4 linked regions of the Drosophila melanogaster genome follow. The protein of the gene in region 1 interacts with the protein of each later gene in a pairwise test. Each region holds a gene or a part of one and is shown on either strand. Other genes may lie near its edges.

Region 1 (3,248 bases):
TTTGCAGCGCGAAAATCATTTCCTTTTGAAGACAACCGTTGCAACGATTTTCAATGATTTTTTTTAGTATATATAATGGTATATATATATATATACATACTGATTTATTGATAGTTAAGTCCGACCATTGAGCGTTTGTAAAGTATGTATACAAGAATTAAAAATAAGTTTAAAGTGTATAATTCGCAATACAAAAAGAATATATTTACCATAAAGTAGTCGTCAATTCAAAGTCGCCAAGGCAATTTGTAGAATGTTTTAATCCGACAAGAATGTACATATTGGCGTTTCCGATTAGATGTTTTTATATAAACGAAGTAACCATTTATAAAGGTAACGCATATACCACACATACATAACATAAATTAAAACAATTCAATTGTTAAGCATTACTAGCAGTTAAGAGACGGCAATTAAAGGTACATTTAATTTAAAATAAACGCAAACATTTTCAATCTACACCCGGCATTATCCATCTCTTGACACAGCAAAACACACCGCTCAGTCGGGTTTATAGTATAATTTTATTCAAATATGCGGGAGATAATATTGCATTACGAGCTATGTACGGCCAAGACAGCAATTACAGTACGAACCCACTTTTGGGTTCGAATACCTCAGTCCTATATCGTATCGATCAGATCATCTAGTTCTTCTGCAGCTTATCCACGTCCTGAATGTAATCAGTGCCGACCTTCACGATGGCGGCGCCAGTTCCCAAGCCCGCCAGGGTCGCCAGCAGTGCATTGTCCTGTGGCAGGGCGGACTTGATGAGCGCCCAGGCCAGAACGGATCCCATGGAGAATAGGGTGGCGCCCAGCAGGGCGTACGCACCTCGCTTGTTGTTCTTCACGTCCTTCAGGTGGGGCCTGCCGTAAATGTAGAAGGCACTGCCCACCACCGCGGAGATGAGGAACACGTTCGTCAGGTCCTTCTTGGGCAGGATTTTGGGCACGATCTGGGGGTTCATAACATTCACCGCAAGGGCTCCGTAGCTCACCAGGCCGTGCAGCGGTATGTAGTAGTTGAACACATTATCCCGGGTGAAGGGCTTGAGGCCCACTTTGTCGCATATGCTGCAGGCGTCTTTTGACTGTGTCCCGGCCATTATTATCGGTGAAAATGCAATTAAGTTTTTGGATCCCGGTGAGGTCGACGAGTCTTCTTCTTCTTGTTATGTAAAGAATAGGGCTGCCAGGTCGCGATATATGTGAAAGTTATGTCGGTCTTCGCGGACACTCTGCAGATGGTATATCACTGGTTCTAGGTAGATATGTGTATAAAGATGTAAATGTTTTGACCAATATAATATGTCAATGTCTGAGAGATCCTAATATATAAATGTACATATCTGACAGGGAGAGTACTTGTTATCAAGGGCTTTAACGCTTGGAGCGCTCATGTTAGTGGGCGTTTTGCGTATTTGCATAACATTAGCCCCGATATTTCCTGAATGTACAATTAAAAACAAATGTTATAGTTATTTTCTTGGCTGGTTTTTTAAAAATTTTCGAATTTTTAAGTTTAGTGGTTCCGGAACGAGTCACCTTTCTGAACAAGAAGTGTCAACTCTGTTGAACAGCCGGCACGGTGTGCACAACCAGGTGGCAACACCAGCCGGCGCAGGAGAATGAGTGGAGGAGTGCCTGAGAGGTGGGAGGACCGAATGGGGAGAGACAGAGAGCGAAATAGGTGCGAAAAATTTGTAGTTGCCTGGAAATTCCTCAATTTCAATTTGCAAAAAGTAAATATCAGCCGCCCCAAAGCAACGTCGATAAATGTGCGCGCCCCGCGAGCAGAGAACAACCAACGCCAGCTCCTGAAGCACTTCAGTCCAGAGATATCGCCGAGAGCCACAGTGCAGCAGATCCGTGGACGACATGTTGACGCACAAAACTTGTCAGGCACGTAAGAAAATGCAGGTGAGTGCGCCAATTGAAAACGGGAAGGAAAGCGGACACCTAAGCCCAAACTAATTCAATTAAACCGTCGGACGCCAGGTTTCCTTCGTGATACGGGACGCCGAGGAGAAACAGCACCGGAATGGCGTAAACGCTCTGCAGCTGGATGCCAATAACGGCAAGTTGTACTCCGCCGGTCGCGACGCCATAATCCGTGTGTGGAATACACGGACGGACTCCAGCGAGAAGTACATACAATCGATGGAGCACCACAACGACTGGGTCAACGACATAGTACTTTGCTGTAATGGCAGGAACCGTGAGTTGCTCCACCGATCAGTTTAGGCATTCATTCAAACATTCAATCTTTTGCACTCATAGTTATTAGCGCCAGCTGTGATACCACGGTGAAGGTGTGGAACGCCCAGAAAGGCTTCTGCATGTCCACCCTGCGGACCCATCGCGACTACGTGCAGGCGTTGGCCTACGCCAAGGATCGGGAACAGGTGGCCAGCGCTGGACTGGACAAGGCCATCTTCCTGTGGGACGTGAACACACTGACCGCGCTCACGGCGAGCAATAACACGGTTACCACCTCTAGTCTAACCGGGTCCAAGGACTCAATCTACAGCTTGGCCATGAATCCATCGGGCACCGTGATTGTGAGCGGGTCCACGGAGAATATACTGCGTATCTGGGATCCCCGCACCTGTATGCGCAGAATGAAGCTGCGAGGCCATACGGAGAACGTGCGCTGCTTGGTGGTGTCGCCCGATGGAAACCAGGTGGTGTCTGGCAGTTCCGACGGCACGATCAAGGTGTGGAACCTGGGCCAACAGCGCTGTGTTCAAACCATCCACGTGCACAAGGAGGGCGTGTGGTCGCTGCTGATGAGCGAGAACTTCCAGTACATCATCTCCGGCAGTCGGGATCGCAACATCATTGTGACCGAGATGCGGAACCCTAGTAACAAAACGCTTGTGTGCGAGGAGCAGGCGCCCGTGCTGAGTCTGGGCTACAACATCGACAAGACTGGGGTGTGGGCCACCACCTGGAACTCGGACATTCGCTGTTGGAAGCTGCCCATGTACGACAGGTGCACACTAAATTCCTCGGGCGGAATGGACGCACAATGGACACAGGGCGGCACTGAGGTGGCCTGCATAAAAGGTGGAGCCGCCATCAAGGAGTGCGCGGTGCTGAACGACAAACGTTATATCATAACCAAGGACTCACAAGATCAGGTCGTGGTGTACGATGTGCTGAGAGTTGTCAAAAAAGAGCAATTGGGCGCTGTTGATTTCGAAGCGGAGGTGAAGAAGCGTAATAAGCAGGTCTACATTCCAA
Region 2 (4,651 bases), on another chromosome or scaffold:
AATGAGGCGGGAGCCCCCAAAAACAACACAAACAATAGACGAGCCAAGTGCTTTTTTGTGGGCGTTGGGTGCTGCTTGTTGGGTGATGATGGTTGTTGCGTTTGTGGGTGGTTCAAAAGATTTGAAAAGCCAACAATGGCAACAGCTTACAGAGCACCGAAACCAAAACGAAAACGAAACAAGAAGCAAAATCAGACAGGGGGGCACCATAGTGTACCTGTTTATTTTCAGTTTCAATGCGGATAAGGTAAACAAAGGTTGGCGATATCTTTTTCATGGAGCGCCGGTTGCAAAAATTCTATCCGGCAATGTTAGGTGAAAATAGCTTGTTGTGCAAGCAAACATGGTCGCAAAAGTAGTTCGTGTAGTAAAATAAATAAACAATAGCCTCGGGAAAGTGGCCTTTTGCGTAAATGAATCAATAACAATATGCACGATCAACAATTGACATTCAAGCCCAATTTACGCATATGAACTCTCATCATTAAAAAACACCCTTCATTTACAAATTACATTTATGTATTTTTGTTTTATTCTTCCATTGCAAACGATTTATTTGTTTATAAATACAACAATTCAGTGGTCATGAAAAGCATTGTGCTAAAAACTAACTACTTCAATGTATATTCACTTGAGACACACAAATACTATGTACTTAATAAAAGTAAAAAAAAAATCGGGTATATATATGTACATATATATTCACGCATTGTTAACCAGTTATCAGAAGAAGGGAAGAAGCAGAGCCAGAAGGCACAATACAACTTATCTCTTTGGAATTTGCTCTCTTGTTAGTGGTTTTCTCTCGCTTTCTGTTCGCTATTATATCTACGTTATTGCTGCGATCGACTGGCTTTATCTTCTTCACTTCTTGACCTATATCTAGCGACTATTAGATAACACATACGGTAACTGTTCCCGCGACAAAAGCTTGCCACAATTTCAAACTTCAGACTTAAATGCTTCAAGCAAACGCAAGCGATACTCGCTCTCTCAAAACAAACTCACACACACGCGCACGCACTGGCACTCACACAGATACTCGTTCGCACACAGATACTCGCTCTCACACAGATACACACACAGAGTAAGCCTAACGTAGTAAGAGCCACCAAAAGCTGGGTTCGTGCACCTGAAACCAAGTCTATATCGTTTGGGTGGCCACCTCCCGCTGGCGACTGCGCCGATAGTTTCCATAGGCCTCCAGTCCGTTGATGCAAAATGCTGTCAGGCCAAAGAACTGTAAAAAAAAAGGTGAAGAATAGGGTGTATTAGACGGATCTACAGAGAGTTCATCACAGCGAGGGAATGAATCGGCTCCAACTGGAGGCTCAGTGTTTCGTTTACCAGTATCTTTCCTAGCTTAATCATTAGCCGAAACAATGAGCCGTAATACTTTTGGTTTCCGAACTTATCCTAACTGCGAGAACGCCACTTACCGCCGCCGCCGTATAGGCTCCAATATCCAGGGAGAGTACGAGTCCGGAGGCCGTGAAGTAGGCCAGGGCCAATGAGGAGTGCACCGCCAGGGACCAGAGCGTGGGATCGCATCGGCAGAACTGGCGCTGCCACAACCGGAGATACCTGGCCAGGAGCAGGCAGCCGGTGGCCACGAATCCGATGGTGACTACGGCCAGGTAGAAACTGCCGCGGAAATTGCTCACGCGCACCGGTCCGCAGATGATGCACAATATTCCAACAAAGCTGCACAGCTGAAAGACGCACACATACAAGCGCACACATTAAGGGCGATACACAATGGCACATATGTGTAAGGCTAATTACCAAACAGGCCAGCTTGCACAGGCCCGGCATGCTGAGCAGGTATTTGCGATCGTAGTCCTGGGTTCCCGTCAACGACATCGCGGCCAATACAAGATATATACGTTTTGGATGCAGTTAATCCAGATTGTCCAGCCGAATAGATGCCTCAGAAACGAGCGATTAAAGCCAATGTAGCAAATGTAGCGAAGCGCCGCTGACTAATTCATATTGCGCTCGCCAGCACGCACAGAATGCCACTGAAGTAATACAAACAACACAAATACTCAGAATTCTCCCATCGTTACACTCGGCGAATAAAACTACAATTGCGAGAGCGAGAGAAGCAGCGGGCGAAAGAGAGAGAGAGAGAGAGAGAGAGAGAGAGAGACAGAGAGCGAGCAACACATGGCACAGTGGGACGAAACGATCAGGAAATGTAGTACATATTGTGTACAAATTGTGTTATCTACTCAAATGGTATCTAATGAAACTATAAATATTAAGGAGATTAGCTTTAGCTGGGTATTTATAAAAAATAGGATTATTAGTTTAAGAAAGCTGTAATTTCCAATAAATGAATAAACCATATTAACTTGTCTTACTAACTGTAGTTTTGGGGGTCTGTTCATTGTGAATGCTTCTTCGTTACATTATACTAATTTTCGTTCGGGGGATGTCAAGGGGTGAATCTAACACGGTGTGACTCACTGACCTCCAGGGATATATTAAATATATGTATATTCATAAGGCAAGGTGACCGGTTACTGGGTGAGCAAAGCTTTTTTAGTCGTGTGAAGTGCCGAGCTTTTATGACTGGCATTGCTTGTGACATGCAGTTTGAGGTTGGGCCCTTTTTGGACCACTGTGCATTCGAATTTCCATCTGTATCTTAATGCCCAGCATCATTAGATTGTGCCATTCGAATCGTATTTGTTATCGGCTATGACCGAAACGCTTCTCGTTATTTTAATCGGCACAGCAGGCTAATTGATTTAGTTACTTAACGGATAAATCGCTGCACAAATCCGAATGCGAATGCAAATGCGAGCCTCCCAAAATCAAATGCAATTTCGTCGTGATTCACATTGCAAAACACAAGCTGCCCAGCACATATCATACGGAATACGTGAATATACACAAACCATTTGGTGGCCAGATAAGTTTGACGAACTTTGAACACACTACTCCATACAAAAGAAAAAAATTTTATGATACAAAGCTACAAAGATATTACAGATACAATTTTTTCATTCATTTAATTTTGATTTCTCGCTACTCATGTACTATTTTCCACATTCAATTGTTAAAGTTCTTGAAAATGCATAGATACTTGTATAGGGTAGCAGTCGAAACACTCTGGCCCGACATCAAATTGAGTTATATTAATTGACTCATATTCATGAGAGGTGGCTCGTTTACGAAATGGCCGCATGGGTGGCCCCCGCCTCCTGGCCAAGGTCACTTGCACAATCGCCTCGACTGACTGAGATTCAGAGACATTCACAGTTTCACAGATTCACATATTCTAATGCAGAGCGGAAAATGCTGAGTGAGATATCTATGCGACGGAAATCGGCCACAACAAGCGGAAATGAGCACGAAAATCATAAATGAACTGCACTTGAGCAATTTAAGCGATAAAGTGCAGTTTCCATTTCGAGGGTAACAAACAGTCAGACGACTGCAGGGCAACTAATGTCTACATGATTTCTAAAAGCTCATGCATATATATGTATAAACATATATATATACATAAATATGGGAGGCACGAGATTTGCGCTCATCGATAAGCATCGAATCGTCTGGACAAGCGGGGAAAATGTGCGGCGGAAAAGCGAAGAAAATTGACTGGAGAGCGGATTTACACTTGAGGGCGTGCGAGTCTCAATGGCAAAAAGCTATGATTACCTATGGACATTTCTTTGATTTCTTTAGGACTTTGAATTCGATAAGTGCACAGAGGACTTTATAAATGTGCGCTTTAAACCACTGAATAACAGCAAAAGCATCTAAATAGTTTTTAACTAAATATCCAACTTATACTCAGTGGCACGTTGCTGAGAGTGCATTGTTTAGTGATATATCTCGCCTACGATTCATGCACATGGCTGGTTTTTCGCTTACGCACTCAGGCAATTTCCATCGCTTTTCCACCCATGTTGTAGAGCAGCGGAGAGAGAGGGGGGCGGGGCCGGGGGGAATTGGAAAATGTGGGTGCATCTAATTAGAAAAGCATTCGCTGTAATTGCCAGCTGCTGCATCAGCAAGATTTTGTTTGCTTTGGCGACGGGATAACGTGGAGCAGGACCAAAGGCAAAGCGACATGTGAGCTATTAAGCAGTGTTCTGGCTGAAAAAATCCAGTTTCAGATGCATCAGAAGCATCTTTAATAATGACAAACTTGGCGATAACTATGACCAATTAAACGAAAGTTGGAGTAAACGTTTGCGAGCAGGCAGATAATTAGTTTCAGGCACTTTGAAGGAAGTTCGAAAGAAAGCGGCAAGTTGGGCCGTAGCCATTTCTCAACCTCGACAAAGAAGTGTGCCAGCTGGGTATCTGTCAGATACAGATACTAAGTTGCCCAGATACACGGCTCGATTTGAATGCAAATTTCGTGCAGTGGCTGTCAGACTCTGCAGCTGACGTGACAAGACCAAGACCACCCCCCCTAATTTCGAATCCCGAAATACCCCAAAAATAGCAACGACCTCAGCATATCTGCCAAGTGAATTTGAATCTGATATTCCCTTCGACTTTGGGCGCTTTTTATCCGCCAGCTGACAACCACCCCCATTTCCCCCCTCGGATTTTCCAGCTTTTTCCCCCCCGGGGAACAGAACATTTATGCGCCTTATAAATGATTATCGTGTGCACTCAAGTGCCA
Region 3 (3,686 bases), on another chromosome or scaffold:
GAACCTCGAGAGCATCCCCATTCCTCCCTAACGGATTTGTACAGGTGGTTGGGTGGTTGGTTGCATTAAAAATGCATTGGCCAACTCGTTTATTGTTGCTCCTTGGCAGAGCTTTGGTTTACTTTTATTTAGACGAGCTATTCGCTGGGAGAGCCTGATGATGCAAGCTGCAGCTGCAAGGATTCCACTCCATTTTGGGAGACACACACTTTTCATTAGCTCAAAGGAAGAAGCATGGATCGGAGCTCAGCTCAGGTGGAGAAGGTAAAGCCCTTAAAGTTAAGCGCATGGGAGCGGAACAAAAGTTGCCTTAAAGTCGTTGCCAGTCAATAATGACAGAGGATCCCAGAGGATAGGATGCCGTTTGGAAATGGTAAAGCGGATGCGGACGGGGATTCGAATCGGTGCTGAAGCTTCGGCCACGCCCACTCCGTGTCCGTGGGCGTGGCAGATGAATGAGAGGAGCACAGCCCCCCGAAACCCCGAAAAGAAAAGCAGAAGCAAAAGCAGCTGCAGATTTTCTATAAAAGCCGAGGCTAACGAGATTTGATGAATTGCAAGTCTTTGTGAATGAAGCTACAAGAAAGCTGCAGCATGAATAGCCCCGAGGCACCGCCAGGCCGCCTCCCACTCCTTGCGCTTTTCCATCTAACCCAGGTCCACATAAAAAAAACCCATTAAGTGGTTTAAAGCAGTGAAAAAGCGCACAGCACACAACAAGCAACACAGCAAAAGAAAAATGCAGTTGACATGAAAGCCAGCCAAAACGGGGCGATACAGGGATACAGGGATGGGGGTGGTAGGTCGGTAGGTAGATTGGTAGGTGGTGGAGTCAGACAGATGAACAGTACAGAACAGCACAGCACAGCACAGAGGAGCGGAGCAACAATGCTCACCCAGAGATGAGATAAGAACAGCCGCTGGAGGAGGACAAAGCAGCTTGACGAATTACTTGGCAGCTGCTCCTAGTGAAATCCCTGGGAGAATCAAGGAGCAGCGGGCGGGGCGGGGGCGAGCTGTGCGGGAAAGGACGAGGCGCAAGAAATTTAATTTGACCAACATTTTGATGTATCAAGTTCAGTTGAAGCCGAAGATTTATGACTTGCTGACAGAGCAAGCGGAGCAGCATCACCAGGATTGGGACGTCATGTCGGCAGAGAACAGTGCGGAGCAAGTGCATGCAAGAAATTTTATTCCATGCCAACCAGCCTAATCATTTTATAAATCATCTTGGTTTACCAGACGTACATATATATTATTGTACATATAAAGATCTGGAAGAGCTTATCTATGAGTTTCTCCATGATCATGCTCAAGCTTTAAAGTCCAAAAGTTGGAGCCGCAAAGCTTTGGCCGAAACAAAAATGAAAGTAAGCTGACTACTATCGAGCACATTTCCCATTTCCACTTGCCTCACGTAATGAGCCCACTGAAAATGAGGAAAACAAGGCCTTGACATCTGAGCCTGTTTGACTTGTGGTGATAATTGCAATTGGCGCGGTGTCTGTGACTTCAACTGTGACGCAGACAGTGACTGTGATTACACAAAGAGGAAACCTATGCCATTACCGATGGGGTATTCTGCCACGCAAGAATGCTGTATAAATCATAATATATAAATTATAAATTGAAAAGATAACATCGAATATATTAAATATTGCCTTTAAAAACTTTAACAGAGTTTACAACTTGCTTTTTGTATCACTTCTTAAAATAACAAGGAATACTTGTACACAAGTGTTCGGAGTTAACCAAGTAGTGACTGCTGCTTTAAAAGTCAGTTGAATAATTCAGTTTAAGGCTTTCTGACCCGAATTTACTCCCGTAAAACTGGAAGTGTACACCTAGGAGGACATCTGGAGATGGCTCGACTAATGGCCTTGATCATGGCGGTGTTGCTTCACTCGGTACTGGGCATCTCGTACTACTACTACTTTCGCGAATCTCCCGGCTCCGCTGCTCCTCTCTTGGGCGCCTGGCTCTTTTCCGCCTGCGTGGTGACCCTTCTTCACGGGGTGAGGATGTTTTCAAGTGCCCTGCCCGCCGATCAGCGGTTCAGGAATGGGAATCGAAACCTTCGCGGCAATGAGTCGTCCTGGGCATCGCTCTTACTGGAGACAGGCGTCTGCTGTTTGGTGCTGGATCTGACCCTTAGCAAACTGTGGCATCGCATAGAGTCCCTCTGCCAGTGCGCCATTGTGGGCATACTCCAGGCCTTGGCCGTCGAGGAGCAAACCTTCCTGGTCTGCGAGTACTGGACTTTGGGCCTGACTACCGGCCTGATCGGCGCATGTCTTCTGTGGCTTTCCCTATGGGCCACCGCGTTGCCCCAGAAGCTCCGCTGCGGGATGCTCGACTGGCGTCGCACCCTTCATCGCCGCTGCTCCGCGCTGATCTTCGGAAGTCTCGAGCCCGGCACTCCAATGCAGACCCAATCCCAGGGAAGCGCACAGAGCTTTGCCAATTGAGACGGAGGGGTGACCATTCCACTTCCACAGCCATATCACACTACCTCAGTCAATAGCTAAATTTATGGTTCAAATTATACTAAAAGCGTTTTAATAGGCACAGTGGGACACAACGGGCTGCATCATAAATTGAATTATGAATAACCATAATAGTAAATTTCGATTCAAAGCGTAGTTTCTTTTAGCTTCTTTAAGAAAAAAATAAACTCAAAAATCGAACATATATTAAATCGCAAGACCACTTTCTGACCGAATCCATGAAGCCAATTTGAAGCGGACAACTACCGGCCAAACTGCCAACCACTGGGGGCTGTCATCCCCCCGAAAAAGACTTGTAAACTCGTTAGCCGTAGCCGTACCCATATGCAATGCGGAAGAGGACCGATCCGAGATCCAAAAGCGACACGCCCCCAAACAACCGATTCGGTTTCGGTTTCGGATTCGGAAGACGGAACCCAGCGGCTCAAAGTAAAGCAAAGCAAGTCGATCGAAAGCGAAAACGAAACCATTACTCTGATGCGCGATCGATGGCTGTAAACTTGAACTTGAAGCGTAGCCAAAAGCGATGGACACCACGACGGCAAACAGCAACTGGCAACTAGCAAATAGCAACTGGCAACTAGCAACTTGCAACTTGCAACTAGCGACATGCAAGAGCCTGGCACACGCAACAATGCCGCTGAAATGCTTCCAAGGCAGTGCCAGCCAAATGCTGTTGCTTGCTGGCGCGCTGTCGTGTTTCGCACTGGTTAAAACTGCAGCCGCAGCCTGTTGCCAATTGCGGGAAATTGGTCGGGTCGTCGAGCGATATAAAAGCCTGGCTGGCAATGCAGCCGTGTTAATCAAAGCGCGTCGCTCGCCAGGAAAAGTGCAAGTGTTTTCCACGCTCCCAGGCAGCATTCAAACTCAAATCGCAGAGAAAATTCAGCGAGGTGAAATACGCATACTTTTTTTTTCTGTGCTTATAATAAAATCGAAAGGTGTTCCAAAATATCTGACCTTCGTGTTGCAGAATTAACTAAGCTGCTATAGCAGATATAGTTCAGTTACAAGTGCAGCTTACGATACAATTTTTCCATTTCGGATGCACTTCGCGTCCTGAAAATCAGCTTCGGGTATAAGCAGCAAAATGTTATTTTATAATATCCTTTGGGTTAACAAGTAAAATATATTATCGCAAATATTTTTCATGAACACGATCCCTTAACTTTTCTCTTA
Region 4 (5,506 bases), on another chromosome or scaffold:
GGGCTTTAGTCAGCTGACTCAGCTGCCAAATTTGGCAGTGTTTACACACTTGCTTATTTCGGGAATCCTTGTGCTGATGACCACTTGGGTTTATGGACGCGTTCGTTTCCAGTGCGACTTGCAGTTTATGTTAGGCAAAACGATCTCAAGTTTCAAAATTTTCTTTATACGCTTTGCCACGCCCATTTTTCTGGGACTGTGTCTGGTGAGTAGTGGTTATTATTATAAAATTATTTGTATATAGTTAATGACTGATATTATTGGAATTTCTTGCAGTTTCAACTAACCTATTTATTTACGCGTGATCGCATACACGATGTCCTGATTTATGTGAGTCAGGGCTTGATTCTCCTAACGGCCATATCTTATATGGTTTACAAGGTATGTCGGACGAATGGCGATTGGCGCCAGCGATTGCAACAGTGCCTCGCACCACATGACTGGCATCCGGTGGATGCGGACAACCGGCGATTCTACGAGGAAATCATGGGCATCTCGGAGATGCTGGTTATAGATGCCAATGCCAACACCACATAGTGCCTAAATATCGAATACTCCCTAGATCAAAACTCAATACTTACAGCGTCGTCACTTGACAAATGAACTGAACTGAACTCACTTTTATTATACACCCATATGCGGTCACATTCACACATGCAAAAAATACAATAACAAACACGCACACTAGTATATAAATAAGCGGATCCATTGGCAATGGCGATTGTTAGTTGTTGTAATGAAGTTGTACTGATATTTTCCAAAAGCTAGCTATAGTGAACAATATACTGGTGATATTTAGTAGTTTCCTACTAAAATGTTCAACAAGCTTCGGCCAAAAATATTGTTATGAACTAATAAAATTTTACCTTTTAGGCATTGAAAATGTTGAAGTCTTTTTTTGAAGTTGGTAAACGTATAAGGAAAAGAGTTAAATTTATGATATACGGCTGTCAGCACTTTAAACTATTTAATGTCGCACTAATAATAATAATAATTTTGGAATTTTAGTTATAGAATATATGACGTTTAGAGTAGATTGTTAGAAGCATGTTTTTAAATGCATGCAAAATAATAATAGTTTGAAAAATATATGAGGTAATTGTATATTATTACCTAAAACTAATCGCTAATAACAAACAAACATAAGAAAAAACAAATATTAAGACATTATCAATGCGTTATTGAAATCAACAGCCAGGGCGTTATGGGGTTTACTTGCTTTTGCATTGCTGTCTGAGTTTTCCCCCAGATTTGATAACTTTGCGGCTGTCTTGTTTGTCATCCCATTTCCCGAGCACGACCATATCAGTTTCCAGTTCCAAAATCGAAATGAACTTGGCAATGCACGACGATAGGCGCACATAAGAGAGACAGGCACAGATATAAGAGCTCTAATAATCTGAATTTAAAGCAAAATAACAATAAATGCAAATTTATGGTCGAGATCGGAAATACACTTACAAAACGTGTAATAACAAATTTACAATTATTTTGATAACCGAAAGCTTGAAACTATAGATAACTCGCTTAGATATATATTTTCCTAGCATATCTTTATTTTGACAACAGATCTGTTTGAAATTAGAGGGAGGTTTCAAATGAATCTCGGTATAAAGATACCCCACTTCCATAGTAATAACTGTGTGATTAAAGACCAAGTGTGCATCGCCTAAGTTGGGGTATCTCATTCAAGAGGGATGAGCTAAACAGAGGCCTGCTGTCGGAATCGGATTCAGTTTGCCGGCATCGGTTCTACTAATTAGTCCGTCAATTTAGAGTAAAACGCTCGCGGATCGGTTGCAGAAAAAAAATATATATATACTAATATTACCTCTGCGGGAGTGTAAAATTAGATCGTAGTTATATATACTTATTTACAAAATTTGCTTAAATCCATTCTCGCCCACATTTTGGCGGTAATATTGTGGGTAGTTCAACATGGTATATGAAACATCGTATGATACCGGGCATAAACCCTTTTCCCCCGATCTGAATCGAGGAAAATGGGATAAGCCAACGGACTTTATGTTCGCCTGCTTTGGATTAGCCTTGAAGTTGGATGTCTTTGTGGCATCGTTTTGGATGTTCTTCGACATGGGCAGTAAGTAACGCAAGGGCGACTACGTATATTATATTGCTGATAAGGTTCGGATTTAGACTAATCTGTGGAGGGGCGGTGCTCTGCTAATGTTCTCTTACCTTCTCATCTGACATACATACAAAACAATGCCTAATTCTGTCGATATTTATGTATTTAATGTAATAATTGTGTCTCTTTATACAGCACAAGAGATAACAGTTTATACATCAGAATTTAATCTTTATCTTTGAATGCATTTATTTAAATACACTATTTGCTTGGACCAGTTCTTGGAATACTGCCGTACTTTGTATATATGTCCATTTACTTGGTTCCCATCATGGTCATTCACTCCTTCATGGGTCAGTTCTCCAGCAGTGGATTCATCTCCGCCTTTCGCCTGTCGCCTTTCTTTAAAGGTACGTACGTAACCGAGAAGTTTAAACAGATATTAAATATTGATCGAAATATCAATTTCAGGCATGGGATATGTGAGTGGATTTTTAACTATCTCCATGCTAATTTACTATAGCATTTTTGCTGCGGTTCCACTTCTGTTCATAATAAACTCATTTCGACCCACTTTACCTTGGAGCTGTGAGGGCTTGAGTTCTTGGCACAATGGAAGTGCAACGCTATCTAGTGTATGAAATTTGTGTATGACTAAATTGAATTGAAGACTAAGTACATTTTTTATATTTAAGTCTTGTAATAAGACACTGATCTTGGAGGACTTTTCGGAATACAACAGATCTCACCAGCTGCTCCATGTACCATCCGTGCTCTATTTTCAGTAAGTGCTCCTATTTATATAGCAATAAAACATTACCTAATTAATCCAATGCAAATATTTTAATATTATTTTAAGAATTGTTTAAAAATAATTTCTTTTTAACTCTATGTTTACAGAAATCACTATGATAGCATGCAACAGGATGCGGTTCCGGATTGGTATAAGGATTACGAGTTGTCTTGGCATTTTGTTGGCCTATTCGCAATCATTTGGGTTGTGATTGCATTTATTTTTTATAAATTCTCAGAGACGGCCAAGTTTGGAAAACTTATACGCTACATGGTGATTGTTACCCTGGTTCTTCTTTTAGTGTGCTTTGTGCGATTCCTGTTCCTTCCGGGAGCTCTTAACGGGCTCCACAGATATGTGACTCCAAAGGCAAGTGACATGGCCATGGGAGTAGTGTCCACATTCATCATGGTTCTTCATGCATTCGGAGCTGGTTGGGGCAGTGTAATAACTCTGTCCAGTTTCAACGGTTTCAAGACTGACATCATGTCGTATAGTTGGATTATTTCCTTTGGACAGATCTTCATTTATATCATGTTTGGCATGGTTTCCTTTATGCTGGAACACTACTTTAATGGTAATAGCACTTTATAGATTTGCAATATCTTTACTGTATTGAAGTTATCCCTTTCAGAACTATCCGATGTTGATGATAACGGACATGTTTTGAGCCATTGGCTGCTATATTTGTCAAGTGCTTCTGCCTTGTCCACAATGGCTTGGCCAAACCTATGGACTTTTATATACTATTCTATGCTTTTAATTGCTGCTCTAATTGTGATGGTGATGATAATCTACACAATTAATTTTTATTTTTCACGCTACTAAACTTAAATAATTTTATTTTCAGACGACGCAAATCTTCACGGTTTTGCAAAGTTTGTTTGATGAGTTCGAAGTACTTAGAGTGAGAAAACAAGAGGTGACCTTTGGGCTAATTGGAGGTATTGCACTCTGCTCCTTTTACTTTTGCACCAATGTAAGTACTTAAGTTTACACAAAAAAGATATATTATTAAGAAATATTTTAAACAATTTTCCGTTTCTAGCATGGCATTATTTTCTTTTCGGCCTTGGGTCTTGATGCCATTTTCTCACATAGTTTGCTGCACTTACTGCTCCTTTTGGTGGTTTTGTGGATCTATGGTCGCGAACGATTCCAGCGAGATATTGAGTTCATGTTGGGCCAGCCCTTTGCCTCCTGGAAGGTTTTCATACTCCGCTTTATAGCTCCAATAATTTTAGTCATTTGTCTGGTTAGTTAGTTAGTTAGTTGCTTGTTGCTTTGAATAATCATATTCTTTTAACTAACTAGCTCGCGGGAATTGCTCTGTCCATATCGGAGCACTCTTATTCCACAACAGTGGTCTTCGTGATGTCAATTGTCCTCGTGGTTTTGCCCATTCTGGCCATTCCTGGATATGGATTTTACTACCTCTACCAGAGCACGGGCACCTTTTGCGAACGCTTTAAACGCACCTGCCGACCCACCGATTGGTATCCGGTTGAGATGGAGCACCGCCAGCAGTACGAGGAAGCTGTGGACAACACGGAGATGACCCACCAACTCTTCGAGGTTACTGAGGAGGTCAACTAGTTACTGATGCACTTAGAAATGTACTAAATATAAATATATGAGTAATTTTAATGCGTATTTAAAAAAAGGTATGCATATATATACAATCATATTGTGAAAGGTGGAAATGCTACACTTATTGCACTATGCTTACAGCAATGGGTTTTACAGCGTTTATCTCACCTGAATCGATCAGGTTCACACGTGTGACTGTCCAGAGAAACGTAGATATCTCGGAAAAGTTAATAAAGTTGAGCTTAAAAAATCTGTGACGTCCACAATTATAATGCTTACATAGTTTGTCTATCGAGAGAGAGAGAGAGCTTTTAAAAACGTGTAATTATTAATGTAGTTATTGATTAATTATGGTTATAAGCAAAGTACTCTTATTGACGTCATGTTAGTGTATAGAAATGCCTTTTAATTTCAGAATGCCACTTCGGTGACTCACTACTTTTAGGAACGGTATTAGTTTCATTGAGATGTTTGTTTTAACATATCCAAATTAATATACATCATATTACATTAAATTATTAGGGATCTTCTTACTGTCTGTTTGAACTTGTTCACATTACATAGTATTACAAAGTAATACCGACTATTTATTCAAAAAATTATGCTTAACATTATTTCTTAAAAGTGTATTTGATGGCCGATCTAGTGTGAATGGTCCGGGATAGGCTATGAGCATCTCAGTCCAGTGGAATCAGCTACACTGCGGTTTATCAGCGGAATCGGATTTAGTTCGTCCGCATCGCTGCTACTAATTAGTTCGTCAATTTAAAACGCTCGCGAAATGTTTGTTGTTTGCCAAAGCTTTTAATAATAAGTACCTCCATCGGCGTGTGAAATTGGATATATTTCTTTTTATACAAAAGTTTTTCAAATTCCTTTGCTCACACAATTTACCGGGCTATACTAACGTCACAAAATGATATATGAAACATCGTATGATAGTGGGCACAAACCCTTTTCCCCCGACTTGAAGAGAGGAAAGTGGGATAAGCCCACCGACTATATATTTGCCTGCTTTGGATTAGCCCTTAAAC

What was found.
Region 2: the proteins of CG13220 (region 1) and CG12730 interact in a two-hybrid assay, tested with the Drosophila melanogaster proteins (one large-scale study listed by BioGRID).
Region 3: the proteins of CG13220 (region 1) and CG11379 interact in a two-hybrid assay, tested with the Drosophila melanogaster proteins (one large-scale study listed by BioGRID).
Region 4: the proteins of CG13220 (region 1) and CG13795 interact in a two-hybrid assay, tested with the Drosophila melanogaster proteins (one large-scale study listed by BioGRID).

The regions. Positions count from the first base shown.
Region 1 is NT_033778.4:11,282,358-11,285,605, reverse strand, and holds CG13220 (uncharacterized protein), read right to left. Parts: upstream 1,324-3,248; 5' UTR 1,109-1,323; coding exon 647-1,108; 3' UTR 508-646; downstream 1-507. Other genes in the region: CG9062 (uncharacterized protein), read left to right, coding at 1,881-1,922, 2,001-2,220, 2,283-3,248.
Region 2 is NC_004354.4:5,514,633-5,519,283, reverse strand, and holds CG12730 (uncharacterized protein), read right to left. Parts: upstream 2,677-4,651; 5' UTR 1,864-2,676; coding exon 1,786-1,863; exon of another isoform or gene 1,784-1,785; intron 1,713-1,783; coding exon 1,440-1,712; intron 1,241-1,439; coding exon 1,145-1,240; 3' UTR 513-1,144; downstream 1-512.
Region 3 is NC_004354.4:1,178,402-1,182,087, forward strand, and holds CG11379 (uncharacterized protein), read left to right. Parts: upstream 1-1,763; 5' UTR 1,764-1,862; coding exon 1,863-2,468; 3' UTR 2,469-3,150; downstream 3,151-3,686.
Region 4 is NT_033779.5:7,722,528-7,728,033, reverse strand, and holds CG13795 (uncharacterized protein), read left to right. Parts: upstream 1-1,735; 5' UTR 1,736-1,938; coding exon 1,939-2,101; intron 2,102-2,367; coding exon 2,368-2,499; intron 2,500-2,560; coding exon 2,561-2,724; intron 2,725-2,784; coding exon 2,785-2,873; intron 2,874-2,989; coding exon 2,990-3,459; intron 3,460-3,516; coding exon 3,517-3,665; intron 3,666-3,732; coding exon 3,733-3,861; intron 3,862-3,930; coding exon 3,931-4,137; intron 4,138-4,196; coding exon 4,197-4,478; 3' UTR 4,479-4,989; downstream 4,990-5,506. Other genes in the region: CG13796 (uncharacterized protein), read left to right, coding at 1-205, 277-537; CG13794 (uncharacterized protein), read left to right, coding at 5,389-5,506.